Alligator mississippiensis: one gene and its partner. The protein of the gene in region 2 purifies or fractionates together with the protein of the main gene of each other region. This does not show direct contact. Links are inferred from orthologs where the notes say so. Each region holds a gene or a part of one and is shown on either strand. Other genes may lie near its edges.

Region 1 (7,535 bases), on a different chromosome or scaffold from region 2:
AGAACATGGTTGTAAGCAGCTTTTGTTGATTAGATAAAAAAAAAAAATCTGTCCACAAGCATCACTGGCTTTCAGCATAAATTAATCAAAGCCCTGGAGTTCAGATTATTCTGACTGTGCGACTTCATAAACTTTGTTCCCCAAAGCCACTTTGGGTAAACTATATAAGTTTACATGCTAGTCCTCTGCAGGTTTGTTTTTTGGGGGGTTTTATTCAAAAAGCAAAACAAAACAAAAAAACCCCCACACTTTCAAGGCAAGCTATATCGTTTTTATATCATGTACCAAAAACAGCCTGCAAATTGAAGAAATAACAAGGAACGAGAAAGAGGACAGAATGGATTAACTCTAAAGCTCTCTCAACACCTGACTGAGAAAATATATTCCTGTTATGCAGACTGTGAACTAGGTAAAACTGCCAATACAATTTACTGGGAAAATTCAAGATCTGGGGGGCGTGGAGGAGAGGTTCTGCAAGAAAGACTTGGTAAATTGACACTGCTCCATGTCTTTAATAGAACGGGGTGTTTCCTCCCCTCACAGAAACATTCAGAGAAATTAGTGTACTAGTAAACAATAATTTTTTAACAACATACACATACATCCACGGTTAACCTTGAGCAATAGCATATCTGCCACTAAAAATGTAATTACAACACACTGCTGTTATGTTGGGTTGAATGATAGTGGCTGCTTATCAGAAAATAAAATCTGACCAGCCATTTTTTTGCAGTCAGAGCAACAGTGGAAAAAAAGGACTAACTTGCCACAGCTGTTCCACTGCATTTCTAAAAGGTAAATTGATGACAAGCCTCTATTGAAGATATGCAGCAACAGGCATCCACGCTGACTTTGTCCTTCACAGTTAGCAATCTGTTCCCACGGCCAGTTATTGGAAGGACCTGATCCAAATCTCACTCAACTCAAGCTTTGATTCAGACCTCTAGACCACTGGTTCTCAACCATCTTGGATTCAAGGCACCCCTTAGAAAAAAATGTCAGCTGTTAGTTTTCACTCAATATTTAAAACTATAGAAAAAGAGAAATTCTTCTGTTGCAAAGACCTTAAAAAAGCCACAACAGGTCAGAATGTTTTTAAACACTATGGATTTCCATTTGGGTTTATACTGTGAATCATATTTACACATCTAACAACACTGCTACCATTGTGTAGCACCCCATGGCACCCACAAAAGGTTATTGAGGCACCTCAGGGTGCTGCAGCACCCTGGTTGGGAATCACTGCTCTTGCTCCTTTAAGCAAGTGGCTGCTGATAGTATGGAAGTTCACAAATAACAACACATTTTCCAGGATAACATTTATAAAAATGAATGCAACAGTATGGAAGATAAAGCAGACCAGGCTTGCTTAGGGGAGCAATTCTGCCTCTGACTTCTTTAAAGGAAACATTTCAGATCAGGCTCCTTAAATGCAATAGTGCTTCCTGCCAACTGTTTGACCAAGTACTCTTCCTTTTATATTGGGAAACAAGATAAATGAATAATTAGTTGCAGCTTTATCATCTTAGATAGCATTAACTCTAAAAGTTAGATTTGGGAGTGTAATAACATCCCTCCTTTTTCAATTATTCAATACCTTCCTATCAACCTATAAGCATTTTAGAATATAACAGGAAATGCATTATTTGACCTTTTCTTCTTTTAAAAATGAGCTTTTTTTCTAATCTAAAGAGCAGCTGATGACAGTCCTGCAATCCAGAAGAGACCCGAGTTTCAGTGGTACAAGGCCTGTACAGTTCCCATTGAGCTTAGATGGAGTTGCGGGTGTCCAATGCCTTTCAAAATGAGGTCCCAGATGCGTTTGTCCTAGAAGCGACCTATACGCGAATGCTAAGTATGCACATGAAAGTTTCATTCGGTGCTTGCAGAAAGAATAAGTGGTTGCCTCTGTCCGGTTTTTAACAGAAAGCAACTTTTGAAACCCCCCCGCCCCCTTCACCCCATACACACCCACCCACCCACTTGGACTGAGCCTCAGTTACCTTTCTGTACGCACACATACGTGTGTGTGCGCATATGCACATAAAGGTGACTGAGGCTCAGTCTAAGGTGTGTATGTGTGCGCATGCAAAGTGACTGAGGCCGAGTCTGAAAGTTGCTCCTCTTTACACACAGACACGCATGTAAGGGGAGCAACTAAGACTGAACGTCAGTCACCTTTCTGTTCACACCCCCCACCCCTGCACCTTAGATGGAGCCTCAGTCACGTTTCTGACCCCAGCTTATAGCTTCTCTTTTCCCCGCCACACAAGAGGGATGCTCCTGGGAGTGCCTACACCTACTGCTTCGTGACAGGCTTGAAAAGCCATCCCGGAGGTTTGGCAGCCCAGGCACAGACTCTAGCCCCAAGAGCTGAACCAGGCAAGTGCCATTTTACTTACTGGTCAGGAACACACAACTCCTTCTCTCCCAGGGCTTATCCCTTGCTTGCCAGACCGGCTTAGTGCAGAGCAAGTATCATTTACAACTATTCCTATAAAAATGGCTTAGCCGAAAGCCCAGGAGGGGGCTCACGCATCACGGTACAACCGGCACGCACCTCGACGTGGAAAAAGAAAAGAAGCGCGCGCCAAAAGAAAGAAAGAGCACATTTCCCAGCGCTAACTTTCGAGCTCGAGGACGACACAGGCTTAGCGGAGGGTGTATCCAAAAGCCCCAAACGCGGGGTCTCAAATGCGGAGGTCTCCAGTACCACAGCCCTGCCCGGCAGGCAGGAGCAGGCCGGGGGCTAGGACACAAAGCAGGCACTCACCGGCTTGGGCATGGTGGCTGCGAGCAGGGGTAGGGGCCAGAGCCGAGGCGGCAGAAGGCGGCAGCAGCTGGTTGCCGGGCGCGGCGCGGCACGGAGCTGGGCGAGGAGGCGCTCGCAGCTCTTGGCTGCCCCGACAAGCACTCGCGGGCGGAGGCCCCGGCTGGCTCTTAAGGGCAGGGCCGGGGGGAGGGAAGCGGAGCGCGAGGGTGATTCATGCCCGGGCCCGGCCTTTCCTGCCGCCCCACCTCGCCCTGGGTGCCGCAGCAGGGCGGCCGACACGCCCCGGCCTCCAGGACAGTCCGCGCAGGTGCGGGCGGGGCCGGGCCGGGACTGCGGGCCCGGTCCGGCCCGGCCTCGCCTCCTCACAGCGCCGCTTTGCGCGGGGGGGTCTCAAATGCGGAGTTGTCCCAAATGTGTGTTGTGTTGTGTTGTGTTGTGTGTGTAGGGAGTGTGGTTGTGCGTGTTGTGCACGTCTGGAGGGAGTGCGGTGTGTGCTGTCCGTGTGTGGAGGGAGTGTGGCTGTGCACGTGTGCAGAGGGAGTGTGTTTGCGTGGGTGTGTATGTGTGTGGAGGGAGTGTGGTTGCATGGGTGTGGAGGGAGTGTGGTAGGGGTTTAGGTTGTAGCCGTGTTGGTCTAAGGACATAGGCAGACAAGGTTCCTTGGGTGAATTTGATATCTTTTATTAGACCAACCCAAATGGTTGGAGAATCGTTATTAAGCAAGCTTTTGGGTTCAAAAACCCTTCGTCAGGCTCAGGAAGCTGCAGCAGTTGGTGTGTGCTCTTCCTGGAAGGAGTGTGGTGTGTGTTGTGTATGTGTGCAGAGGTGGGATGCGTGTGGCTGCAGGGCTGGAAGGGGCAGGCAAGAGGGGGGGCTGCAGCTGCTCAGGGCACTTGCTCCCGAGACCCTGCTTGTCTTCTGGAGCCACGAAATGGGCGCCCGGGCATCTGCCCTAGCTGCACCTGCGAGCCCGGGCAGCGCCCCTCCACGCTGATGTAGTCCTTGGTGTCCCCCCAGCCCAGCTTGGAGCCGCACCTGTCCTCACAAGAGCAGGGATTCACCAGCCCTGCCCCTGTCACACATTACATTTATTATACCGTGCACAAGTGATGCATGTAGATAGGCCACAGGGGCAAAGGAACAATGGCACAGGGGGTCCTGCAATACATGTAAATGGGTCACAGGGTCAAAGGGGTGTTCACGCCACGAACCAGAAAATTGTGCAATAAATGTAAAGAAGCCAAAGGACCAATCACACAGTGAAATGTGGACTCACACATCATAAACGTAGGGGGCCAAAGGATCCATCGCATCGTGAACCGGGGGATTGGGCAATAAATGTAGAGGGGCCAAAGAAACAATGACACCACAAACTCGGGAATCATGCAGTAAATGTAGAGGGGCCAAAGGAGTGATGGCACCATGACCTGGGGAATGGCAGAATACCTTTAGACCAGGCAGAGAGACAAAGCTATAAGGGACCTGCCACCCATTACATTTATCACACTATGCATGGATGAATCCCACAATATATGTAGAGGGGCCACAGGTGCAAAAGAGTGATCGCACCATGAACTAGAGAATGGTGAGATACCTTTAAACCAGCCACAGGTGCAAAGTTATAAGGCTCCTGCCGCACATTACATTTATTGTGCACCTCATGGTTATTCATGCAATAAATGTAGATAGGCTGCACATGCAAAGTAATGATCACACCAGGCAGAGGTGCTAAGTATGTGGGGGCCTAAGAACCCTGCCCCCCCTTGGGAAGAGGGCTGTCACCTGAAATGTGTAAAACTTTCCACGTCCATCATCTTATCGCCCGACCCTTGGCAAAATAAAAGTTGGCACCTATGACACCAGGAACTGGTGAATGGCACAATACCTTTAGGTCAGTCAGAGGTGCAAAGTTTAGGCCTCTATTGCATGTTACATTTACTCAATGCACGGGTGAATCGCACAATAAATGTAGACCAGCAACAGATGCAAACTAATGATCATACAATGAACTGGCAAATCACGCAATAAATGCAGACTAGCCATAGGTGTAAAGGTATAAGGCCCCTGCAACATGTTATATATATTATGCAACTAACTGGTGAATTATGCAATCAGTTTAGACTGGCTAAACAGGCAAAGTAATTAACACACAAAAATGACTATTCATCTATAAAAAGAGTCAACTAGCTGTAAGGTTAGTGCTTGAAACTGTGTAATAATGTTATAGCTGGTTTCTATCCAGTTTTAGGAAGGCCCTAATCATCACATCATCAAAAGGACTATCCAACTTTAAAAAGAGCCAACCAGCTATGAAATTAGTGCTTGAAATTGTTTAACAAGTCTATAGCTGATTTCTATCCAGCTTTGATTTGAATGTATAGCAGGGCCCCTAAAGGCGCAATGGGCTGCCACCCAATGTTAGCACTAGGAGTTGTGCAACCAAAGCCCCTGCTACACGTTAGATATATCATACAATTCATCATGCCATAAATTGACACTGGCCAAAGGTGGGCAAAGTAATTATCCCAGGATCAAAAGGACTATCCAACTATAAAAAGAGCTGACCAGTGAGTGCTTGACAATATGTAGGGACTCTCTGGGCCCTGGTACATGTTCAAATTAAAAGCTGTCTAGAAACCAGCTATAGAATTGTTATAATTTTTAAGCACTAACTTTATAGCTGCTTGGCTCTTGTTACAGCGGGATAGTAATTTTTATTGGTGATAATTATTTTTCACAGTGTGGCTGGACTAAATTTATTGTGCGATTCACCAGTTAATTGAGAGATAATTACTTTGCATGTGTGGTCAGTCTAAATTTATTGCGCTATTTGCCAGCATCAATTGAGGACTGCTGCGCTGCAGGGTTTCAGCTTTGGTTTGAAGTGTGCCTTTTCACATTTAAAGGCCCAATTCTGATGTTTATATTTATTTGCAGCCATTTCTGATTCTTGTGGGGATGTGGTATTTTGCCAAGATGTGCTTACTGAAGTCCCCCGTGTCTTCCATCCTGACACTGGGCTGGTCCAAAGGGCAGAAGGCAGGTCCATGGGATACTGGATGCAGTAGTGTGACCAACTCTCACCTCTTTTACAATATCCCATGTCTTCCTTAAAGCTCCCACTCCAACTCTAAGAGACTTGATTACCAGGGATCCTGGTTTTCTCTGATTAAAAAAAATCCCCAATTTTTGGATTAAGAAAATGAACCCAAAATCCACATTTTTCCATGATCACAATGAAACACCACTAATATATAGATAGGACACAGGAAGGAGCAAAAAATCAAGCTGAAAAAATGATTTGGGTCAAAAAGGCCAATCAAGTACTAGAGAGTAGATGGGAAAAGACAGTCGTAACAGTACGCAAAGAGACCACCAAGATGCCACCAAGCAATGATTGGAGTACCCCTGCCAGAGCAAATGAAATGCCACCACATCTAAGATTTGAAAGAAAGTGTATGAATGAAGTGCGGGTAAAATACAACGGGCCAAATAAGGGACCGGCGGTATTTCACATTTATGTACCTTTCCTAAGGAAAGATCCTGAAGCACCACTGAAATGTACTGGTGGCCAGCAGACTGGGTAAGAGCGGAGGTGAGAATCTAGCTAAGTCCACCACAGAAACTCCAACTCTTATGAAAAGGGCTGTGGGATCAACTATACACTGAAAGCAGGTAAGTTATTTGTGAATGAGGGTTGGATAGCCATAGCCATTCCAGTGTCCCCCTGTATACTGCAGGGACTATCCAGTTTCAGAGGGTTCAGGAATTATATGTTTAGCATCTACATATTAAACAGTCACACATGTGAATTCATCCTGGATGGAATTTTGCAAAATTCTGCTCAGATTCATGCGCCATTAGCTGTGCAGCAGACCAAAGGTCAGCCATGTTTTTGGTAGACTCTGGCAGGCATTACAAATAAATATGCTAAGTTTGGGATATTTTTAAAACCCAACACATGAACTTTCACTTAGAACTCTAAGTGAACATTTTTTTAGCTTCAAAGCTATTTCTTTCCATTAGTTTTCATTTTTATGTATGCTCCTCCTGTTTCTGGCTGTGATCGGATGGCAAAATGCCAAAATAAGCCTTTTTTTGTGTCTGAAGAATCCAGGAGCAGACATCTGCAGAAATTTTATGAAATTTTTTTGCCCCATCAGTCCTGTGAGTAACTCTTTATGGATACAGGGACCACTGGCTTGGAGCTCCTTGAAGGAATGAAGCTCAGTTTAATGTAGCATAAAGGTCCAGGTAACTCAGATATGGATCAAGCATGTGAAGACTACAGCCCTCAGCACTTGGAATTTTAAAACGGGAGTTTTCAAGATTGCAGTTCTGGATTGACTCCTAAATTCCATGTAAATTGTTGCTAAGGCACCTAAATCCTTCCTATGCTAAGTGTTGCAGGAGGCTTGATGCTCCTGCCACTTTAAGAAGTGGGCAGGCTAGTGCTGGGGCAACCTGCAGGTATGGCTTGGGCTGATTGCAGTCACCCAACCCAGGAGGAGGATATATGCCCAGGCCCCGAGATGACCCAGCAGTAGCATTTTGTGGAGCCTGCTGAGAAAACACCACCTCAGCAGGATGGCTGCAGCTCCAGAAGGTCAACATGGAGGGTAACACCTGGAGGGAGGCTTGGGGAGGAACTAAGGGGATAAGGGGCTTTCTAGGGACCCAGGGAGGGGTCTGGAGCCCAGATTGAGGGGCTGAGAGTGTGGGTCCCAGGAACCTAGTGAGAGGCCAAGAAAGTAGGGCCAGC
Region 2 (7,925 bases):
CAGTGCAGAGCGCCTGGCAAGCCATCAGCCCCGTGGGCCAAGCCAGCGCAGGCTGCAGCACTGGGCGCAGGGAGCTGGCGGGACACAGCCTGGGTGTGGCCACGTTTCGGACGTTACTGGGGAGCAGCTTCCTATGAAGGGCCAAGCCCTTACGTCCAGCATCAGGTAACCACCAGCCCAGCACTGCCCCCTCCAAAGCAAGCCTGGTGGCCCCCAGCACCACGCTCCACATGGCTGGGACTCCTGTGGGTACCACGGGCCCCAGCAGCCCCCTGCCAGCACTGACAGTGAGGACAACTCCAGGCCCAGCAAGTTGTAGCTCAGGGAAGGACACCTCAGTGCCGGGTCCTGGGGGCTGCCCACCCCCCGGCGAGGCACTGGAAGCAGAGTGCTACCACGCAGGCGGAGGGCAAGGAACTCACTCGGGCCTGGGCTGGCGGTGCCGGGAGGGGCCACGTGTGCCCAGCCGGATAGAGGGGCCCAAGGCTCGGCACAGCCCGCCCACCCACCCACCCACCCCAGAGGCTCCCGCTGCCACCTCCTGCCCTGCCCTGCCCACGCCCAGCAGCTCGTCCCAGCGCGCCGCCCCCCCCCGCCCCAGTCACAGCTCCTTGGCAGCTTCCCCAGGGAAGGCGCCAAACCAGGCAGGAAGGAGACTGTCACGAAGCCTCCCCGAGGCCGGGGCTCTTCCTCCAGCCGCTGAGGGGAAGCGCCTGTACAGCCCAGGTCAGTTGGACAGAGAGGGCTGGTGGCAACATGCTCTTGGCCTCTGCTTCCTGGTGCTCAGAGCTGGGCAGACCACACTGCCAGGCCACCCAGACTGACCGCGCCAGCTACCAGGGGCCCCGAGGCCCATGCTCAGGCGTCCCAGCTGCAGCGGGGCACCGGTGCAACCTCCAGCAAAGTGGCGCCTGCAGCAGCTGACGCACCAGGACCTGGGCATAGACAACCACAGCTCCTCCCTAGCTGCTGACCTCCGCACACAGGTCCTGCTAATGGCCGCCATGCGGGCAAGGGGCACCAATGCATGGAGACGCCCCCCTCAAAGAGCCTGGGCTCCTCACCGCTTTGCAGGCTCCCACCCCGATCAATAGCTCCCACACCGCACGGCCTTGCGGCCCCAAGTTGTGCTACTGCCTGCCAGCGCGGGTGACCGCAGGCTGCTCCGCTCCTGCAGCACCAGGCAGCACCCACCTCCGCCGCACAGGAGACCCTCCTCCAGGATCTCCCCAGACCAGTGGGTCACAGGCCGCAGGCACCTGCTGCTGCCCTGGGTTCTCCCTTCCCAGCCCGGGAAGGCAGAGCAGCGCAAGGGAAGCCCTGCCAACGCAAACAGCTGCAGGCGCCAGCACAAGAGACTCGGGGGCATCTCGCACCACGTGCAGCTGCAGGGATTCTCCCCGCTCCAGACCTCCCCCAGCCTGCACACGCCCTCCTTAACCTGTCACCATGACAACCCACAGCTAGCAGTGCTGCAAGGAAAAGCCCCCAGGAAACCCTACATGCACCCAGAGCGGCCTTTCGCAGGCAAACCCACGGAGCTGCTCAGCACCCTCCTTGCAATGCAAGCCTGGCGAGGGAGCCCAAGGGCAAGGGGGCAATGCCTTTCCCCGCAGCAAGCCTCGGCCCTCGCCATCGCAGCACCAACAAGGAAGCCAGCCCTCGAGCAGAGGGGAAAAATGACTCACCGGCACTTCCCCGCAGCCTCAGCAGGGGGCAGGACAGGACTCTCACCCTGCGCCCGAGGCAGAACGCAGCTCCTGAGCCTCCCAGCACGAAACCGCTCCCGCCCGTGGCTCTCAGGAGCACGAAGAGACTGCAGCAGCAGTGCCGTCGGACTCCCCTGGGGTCTCTGTGCCCACCCACGCTCGGGCACCCTGCAGCCGGGATCCCCAGGCTCCTGGCAGACAGCCCCTGGGGACTGCAGCCGGCGCACGCGTGCTCTCAGCGGGGAGGTGGGAAGCCGAGGCCCCTCCGGCCAAGCGCTCAGGGACAGACGACTCGAGCCAGCCCCAGGACACCTTGCTAAAGGGCCACGCTGTCCTGGGCCCGGCGCGGGGACGAGCCAGACCAGCCAAGCGGGCTGCAGGCCAGCTCCGACATCGAGCCCATCGGCCAGCCACGGGCACGAAAGGAAGTATCCGAGCGTCCCAACCCACGCCTGCCCTGGAAACAGCGCCCGGGCTCTGCTCAAGTCCTAGGCCCGGCGGCACGGGCAGCGAGGGGGTGGGGGCACCGGGGCAACCCCCAGGAGCCCACGGACGGACGGACGGACGACAGAGGCAGCCGGGCCCCGCGGTCTTGCTGGTCGGCCCCGGGGCGCCCGCGAGCCTGGCACCGGGGAGGGGCAGCAAGCAGGCGCCGGCGCCTGCATCGTGTGCGTCCGTGACCCGGTTGTGACGGAGGGAGCCTGCCGCCTCCAGAGCCTTTCTGCCGGGCTCCTTGCACCGAGCAGAGGCAGCCCCGCCGCCAGGGCCGCCCGACCCCGCTCGGGTCTGCCAGCCAGCCAGACAGCCAGCGAGGGAGGGAGGGAGGGAGGACAACGGCCTGCGAGCCCATCCCGTCTCCTCGGGCTCCGCTCTGGCGCAAGCGGCTGCGAGGCCGGCCCGGGGACGCCGCTGCCTCCGCGGGGGCAGGGGGAGCGGGAGCACGCGGCTGCGAGCGGGGCCCGAGGGGCGAGCGCGGCCGGGCCGGGGGCTCCCAGGCACCCGCGGGCCGACAGCGGCGCACGGACCCGCCGACGCCGGGCCCGGCTTTTGTGGGGGGCCGCGCCCGGGGGCAGGCCCGGCGAGACCTCGGCACAGACGCGCCCCCGCGGCGGAGCGGGACCGGGAGCCGCCGTGACCCCGGAGACGCCCCCAGGCCCCGCGCGCGGAGGCCGCAGCACTGGCGGGAGCAGGACCCGGGCGCCCCGCCCCGCCCGTGGCCCCGGGCCTGGGCCTGGGCCTGGGCACGAGAGGTCGCAGCCCCGCCCCGCCCCGCCCTACCCGGCCCGTTCGCTGCTCCGAGCTGCACTGACACCGCCGCCCGGATCCGCCCCACCGCCGCTGCGTGCCCTCGCACTTCCGGGACACGCCCGTCACTTCCTGTTATATGAGGCCGACCCCAAGTGCCTCACTTCCGGCCCGGCTCGCGACGCTGATTGGCCAGACGGGACTGGGCATGCGACCGCTGGGGGAGGGACCATAGAGTTCGGGCGCCGGAGGGAGCGCCCCTGCGAGAAGCATGGCGGGCTGTCCGCAACCGGAAGCGCCTGTGGCAATAAAGTGGAGGCGGCAGCCCGAGCCCCGCCCCTGCCGTGACGTCACCGGGCGGGAAATAGGCGGGGGGGGGGGGGGACGGATCGCGGCAGCACGTGGAGCAGCCCCACCCGGCAGGGCTCCGGGGGGCGGAAAGGGGCACACGAGGCCCCCCCGAGAAACGAGCAGGGGGCGGGGGGTCACTGAAAGACCAAGTCTTTCCTGGGCCCCTCGCAGCCAGGCTTGGTGCAGCAGCGGGGTCCGGGCCCTCCCGCCACACGCTGCACTCTCGTGTCCCTGCAGCTAGGGCAGGGCGGCTCCCCCCGCAGCTGCACGCACACAGCTCGCACTGACGCTGGGGAGGGGAAAAGAGCCAAGGCAGAACAGTAGCCTCCTCCGGAGGGCAAGGGACTCGGCCCTCAGCACGGGATGCGACAGAGGCCTGCCCACCACCTCCCACCCGCTCACGCTCCTGCCGCCCGCTGACTCCGCTCCTCGGCTCCAGCTGCAACAGGAAGCAAACATTTACAGATCTAGACACATTTCTATTTTATTACGGCAAAGGTGAAAAAGCCACCTCCGCCCAACAGGCAACCAGTAAAATTTTTCCCAAAAATAACTCGGTACAAAACAGGTCTGTTTCAGAATTAAAAAAAACCTTTACATGAGTTTAAAACCTATTCCAAAACATAAAAGTAAAACAAATTCCGTCCTTGATAGTAGTAGCCACAGTCGTACACCCCTCCCTCCGGAGAGCATGGAATGAGATGTCTGGAGTCCTTTCCATGCAGGGGACGTGCTCGCTGCTTTAGCTGGTGTCCATCTAGAACAAGAGTGAAGTGCAGTTACTCGGCTGTGCCATGGGCAAGGCAAAGAGGACCTATGGAGCGTGCTCGCACAAAGCTTTCCGGTTCAACCCGAGCTTAGCCAGAGCCTCAGTCCCGTTCATGATCAGTTTAGAGCCAGCTGCTTCCACTGGAACATACCAATATGGGAAGAAAGGGTCAAACTGGCTGAAATGCATTAGGTGTGAACCCGCCTAACTGGGCACACTTTAAAAATGAACTGACTGGTGCACTTCTCCAAGGTGGGCAAGACCCTGCTCTCCCTTCCCCTCTTTCCCAGCACCCCTGTCTAGTTTTAAGAGACCCCATTTCATTTCCACCACCTGAGAGGGAAGCCCAGCACATCTCAGAGGTTGTACTATTCCCCCTCCCCCCCGAAATCCAGCTCCAGCTCTCCTCCTCCGTCACCCTCTTATTTTCATCCTGTTCTTCCCAGTAATGTTTAAAAGGCAAGGCACACCCCACCCTTCTCAGATACAGGAAGTGCGTAGTGAGAGCAGCCCTCCTGAATTATGAAGCACGCAGGCAGTCCGGGGCATGCTGCATTACTTGTTTTTAGTATTAGCTTCACGTTAACAGGTGCCCATCTTAGTTTTCTGTGTCCTGCAGGTGTGTGTCCACAGTACAAACAACTGCAGAAACTGCCCTGGAGAATCTGGCTGCCGTGTTGCGCAGTTCAGCCCCTACCACGACCGGTACCTGCAGCTCTACTCGTGGCATGGCCCCCCAGAGCACATGGGGGGGGCAGCAGACAGAAGCCAGGCTCCAGCACTCCAGGTTGGGGCTGTCATAAGGCTGGTAAGCAGTTTTTCAGGGCAAGGTTGCCATGGCAATGGGAGAACAGGTCTCAGCAAGCAGTAGCAAGGGGTGAACAGCCTGAGCAATGTAGAGGAAACGGCTCAGGACAGGGGTCAAAGAAACAGGCCTGTGCCACATGCACCTGCTGGCGCAAGAGGCAGTTGAGCTGGGTAGTGCAGGTGGGATTCTTGGCTGCCAAGGATGCAGAAGGAGGCGTTAAGGATGAGGTGTTACAGGTGGGGGGGCACTTCTACCACCACGGACAGTAGCAACATACTGACATTAAACCAGTTAGGTTTCAGACATTCATAACACCGCCTGGGAGAGAGCACTCCGCAGCACTGCTGCTCAAGCCTGGCGGCAGCCACAAGCATTCAGCGCACGCACGATTTAGTAGTTTTCTTTGCTAGTGAAGCACTGGTAAAATAAGCCTTTGTCAGCCAGTCACGCTGCTGGTGTAGATTCAGCACGTGACCTGCAATAACACCAGGCCCTTGCTACTTCCTCCTTGCTTTGCAGATGCAAACCAACGTCACACTGACCATACAGTGACAGTCCTGTGTGCTGACTCCTGCATTTCTGGCAGCTGGTCTCCTCAGGCCTAGGGCCCCGTGTCACTCACCCCGCCAGCCCTTTTAAAACATCCCTAGGAACAACTCAAGTGCTCTGTTCACTCCTCTCGAACACTGGTCCCAACATAGATCAAGCCTAGGGGTCCTCACTGGAAGTGTTTTCACAGCAGCTAGCTCTGCTACAATATAGTTTAAGCCTGTTCCATGCTAAGCTTCCAGCTTGTGAATTAAGTCGCATGAGGTCTGGCCAACTCCATTTCCCCCCGCTATCACTGTAGTTCTGCAAGAGAGCCATCGAGCTGCCCATCAAGATGTCCTGTACAAACCCATCATGCTACTTGCTGCTCATGTCTTCGTTATCTGTTAAATGCCTAGAAGTGGTTTAATAAAAGTTTTTCCAGCATGTACTAGACAAAACCTGCCCAGGTCACTCTTATTCTGATAAATGGGCACATTTGCTCTGCTTCGTTCTTCACATACCTCCCAATGTGTCTCTTAGCAAGGACTAGAGTCTGAAATGGCAGTCAGTTTGCCGATCACTTCCCCTTATCTAGGAGACTTTCACATAGCACATGCCCACATGCTCGTTAACAGGAGCCTGAAAGCCTCACAGTCTAAGCCAGGGGTGGGCAAATAATTGGGCTAGGAAGTTTTGGCGAGCTCTTGCAAGCTAGGTCAGCACCCCCTAGCCCACAACAGCTCACCAAGAGTCCTCAAGTGATAGATTACTAAACTGGTCTGGGGGGGCACCAGACAGAGTGGGCAGGGTCTCCCCCACAGTCAGCTGAGTGAATAGGATGGGGCTGTGGGCAGGAAGAGAGCAGGAGGCCGGGGGTAAAGCCGCGATCCGCCCCCAGTAAGGCCCCATGATCCTGGGCCTGACCTCACCCATCCTGCTTCCAGACACTGCCCCCTGCACCCCCATCCCATTGTCCAGCAGAGTGCACCCTGCCTACAGGGTCCTGGGTCTGTCTCCCTGGAGACCCTTCCCACCTGCTCCGTCTTGCTCCTCGGGGGGCGGGGGGGCGCAGCACAGATCATGGTACCTAGATTTAGTGGCAGCAGCAGCTCCTCTGGCTGGCAAGCAGAGTCCAGCCACTGTACTGCCCCAGCCCTGCTGCATGCCCGGGGGTGGCAGGACTGACCACATGCACTGCAGTCCAGGCTGCCCACCACATCTGGGCTAGGTGGGGCCGAGGGACCCCCTGCAGACTGAATAAAATCCCTTGGCAGGCCAGATTCAGTCCACGGGCTGCATTTTGCCCACCCCTGATCTAAGCTGTTGTTAACAGACTAGCTGCAGGCACCCAATTCTTTAGATCCATTACCTACATTTCCCAGTCTAATCATAGGCCTGCTTTCTCCTTTAGGACAGCTCCACTGCATGCATTCATTCAGTCAGTGGAGGCTGCCCTGCTGAGTGCGGTTGCTGGCCCCTTTATTTGAAGGGGCAGGGGGACAACACCAGATGTGCCTCCAATGATGCAGCCCTTCTCTGCTAGCCTTCAGCATCAGGTCACACTAGGTCAAGCTCTTTGCCCCAGCTCTTCCCCTCACCCACAAAGAGTGGACCCAGATCTTCACAGACAGTAATGTGCAGCACTGACAGGAGAGTCTGGCCCAAACAGGCCTCTGCCTGTTGAAAAGCTGGTCCCCGAGGGCCACTTCTTACTTCTGAATAAGACAATTCAGGAACCAGGTACTGACCAGTCTCGAGGAGACACATTTGGCCCATCATTCTGGCAAACAGCTGTAGACTGTTGAGGACTGATGTACACATACAAACTCCACCCAGGGAACCTGTACTTACCCTGGCATTGTAAGCATCCAACTGTGCATCTAATTCTTCTGCAGAGAGTTGCTGCTTTGAACTTCTTCCTGTTCCTCTGCCTCTCCCTCTGTTCCCACCACGGCTACCTCGCCTGTTACTGCCTCCACCACCAAATCCTGACCCACGGGTTCTGGTCATGCCACCTCTGTTTACACTGTGAAGCAGAGAAAGCAGTTTTGTTAGTCATGGCACAGTCCCACCACAAGGAAACCCAACCACCAGGAAAGTGCTGCAAGGACAGACCTGAAGCCCAAAGCCATCTTCCTACAGAAGCAGGCTACACAAATTCACTGCCCACATGAAGAGAACGAGTCACCCAGGCCCCATGAGACAAAACATCTCACCTTTGTATTGGTCTCCTCTGTGTGTCTATCTGTGATGTGACCAGTTGGATGTTCATGGGGCGCCCTGGGAGAGGGGAAAACGGAATACAAATTTCTGCCAGTGGCACTGGCAACTAAAATCCTTCCCCTACTGAATCAAGTGTCCCCTGGAAAGAGCCAGGCACACTCACCATCCAAGGGGACACCATTGTACTGCTTCATCGCCTTCAGAGCATCTGCCTTTCTTTCAAAGTGTACATCTGCCGTCCCTAAACTGCGTCCAGACCGGTCATAATGTACTGCCGCCTTCTTCAAGG

Evidence for each region. The genes of interacting proteins can lie anywhere in the genome.
Region 1: the proteins of ARHGDIA (region 2) and EZR purify together in Homo sapiens (co-purification; 3 studies listed by BioGRID and IntAct, with this or other methods). This does not show direct contact. The link is inferred for Alligator mississippiensis from reciprocal best matches to the Homo sapiens genes ARHGDIA and EZR.

The regions. Positions count from the first base shown.
Region 1 is NC_081824.1:136,884,653-136,892,187, forward strand, and holds the start of EZR (ezrin), read right to left. Parts: upstream 3,047-7,535; 5' UTR 2,786-3,046; coding exon 2,774-2,785; intron 1-2,773. UniProt on the Homo sapiens protein: Probably involved in connections of major cytoskeletal structures to the plasma membrane. In epithelial cells, required for the formation of microvilli and membrane ruffles on the apical pole. Along with PLEKHG6, required for normal macropinocytosis.
Region 2 is NC_081831.1:492,210-500,134, reverse strand, and holds the start of ARHGDIA (rho GDP-dissociation inhibitor 1), read right to left. Parts: upstream 3,096-7,925; 5' UTR 2,988-3,095; intron 1-2,987. Other genes in the region: ALYREF (THO complex subunit 4), read right to left, coding at 4,048-4,062, 7,265-7,439, 7,630-7,693, 7,800-7,925. UniProt on the Homo sapiens protein: Controls Rho proteins homeostasis. Regulates the GDP/GTP exchange reaction of the Rho proteins by inhibiting the dissociation of GDP from them, and the subsequent binding of GTP to them.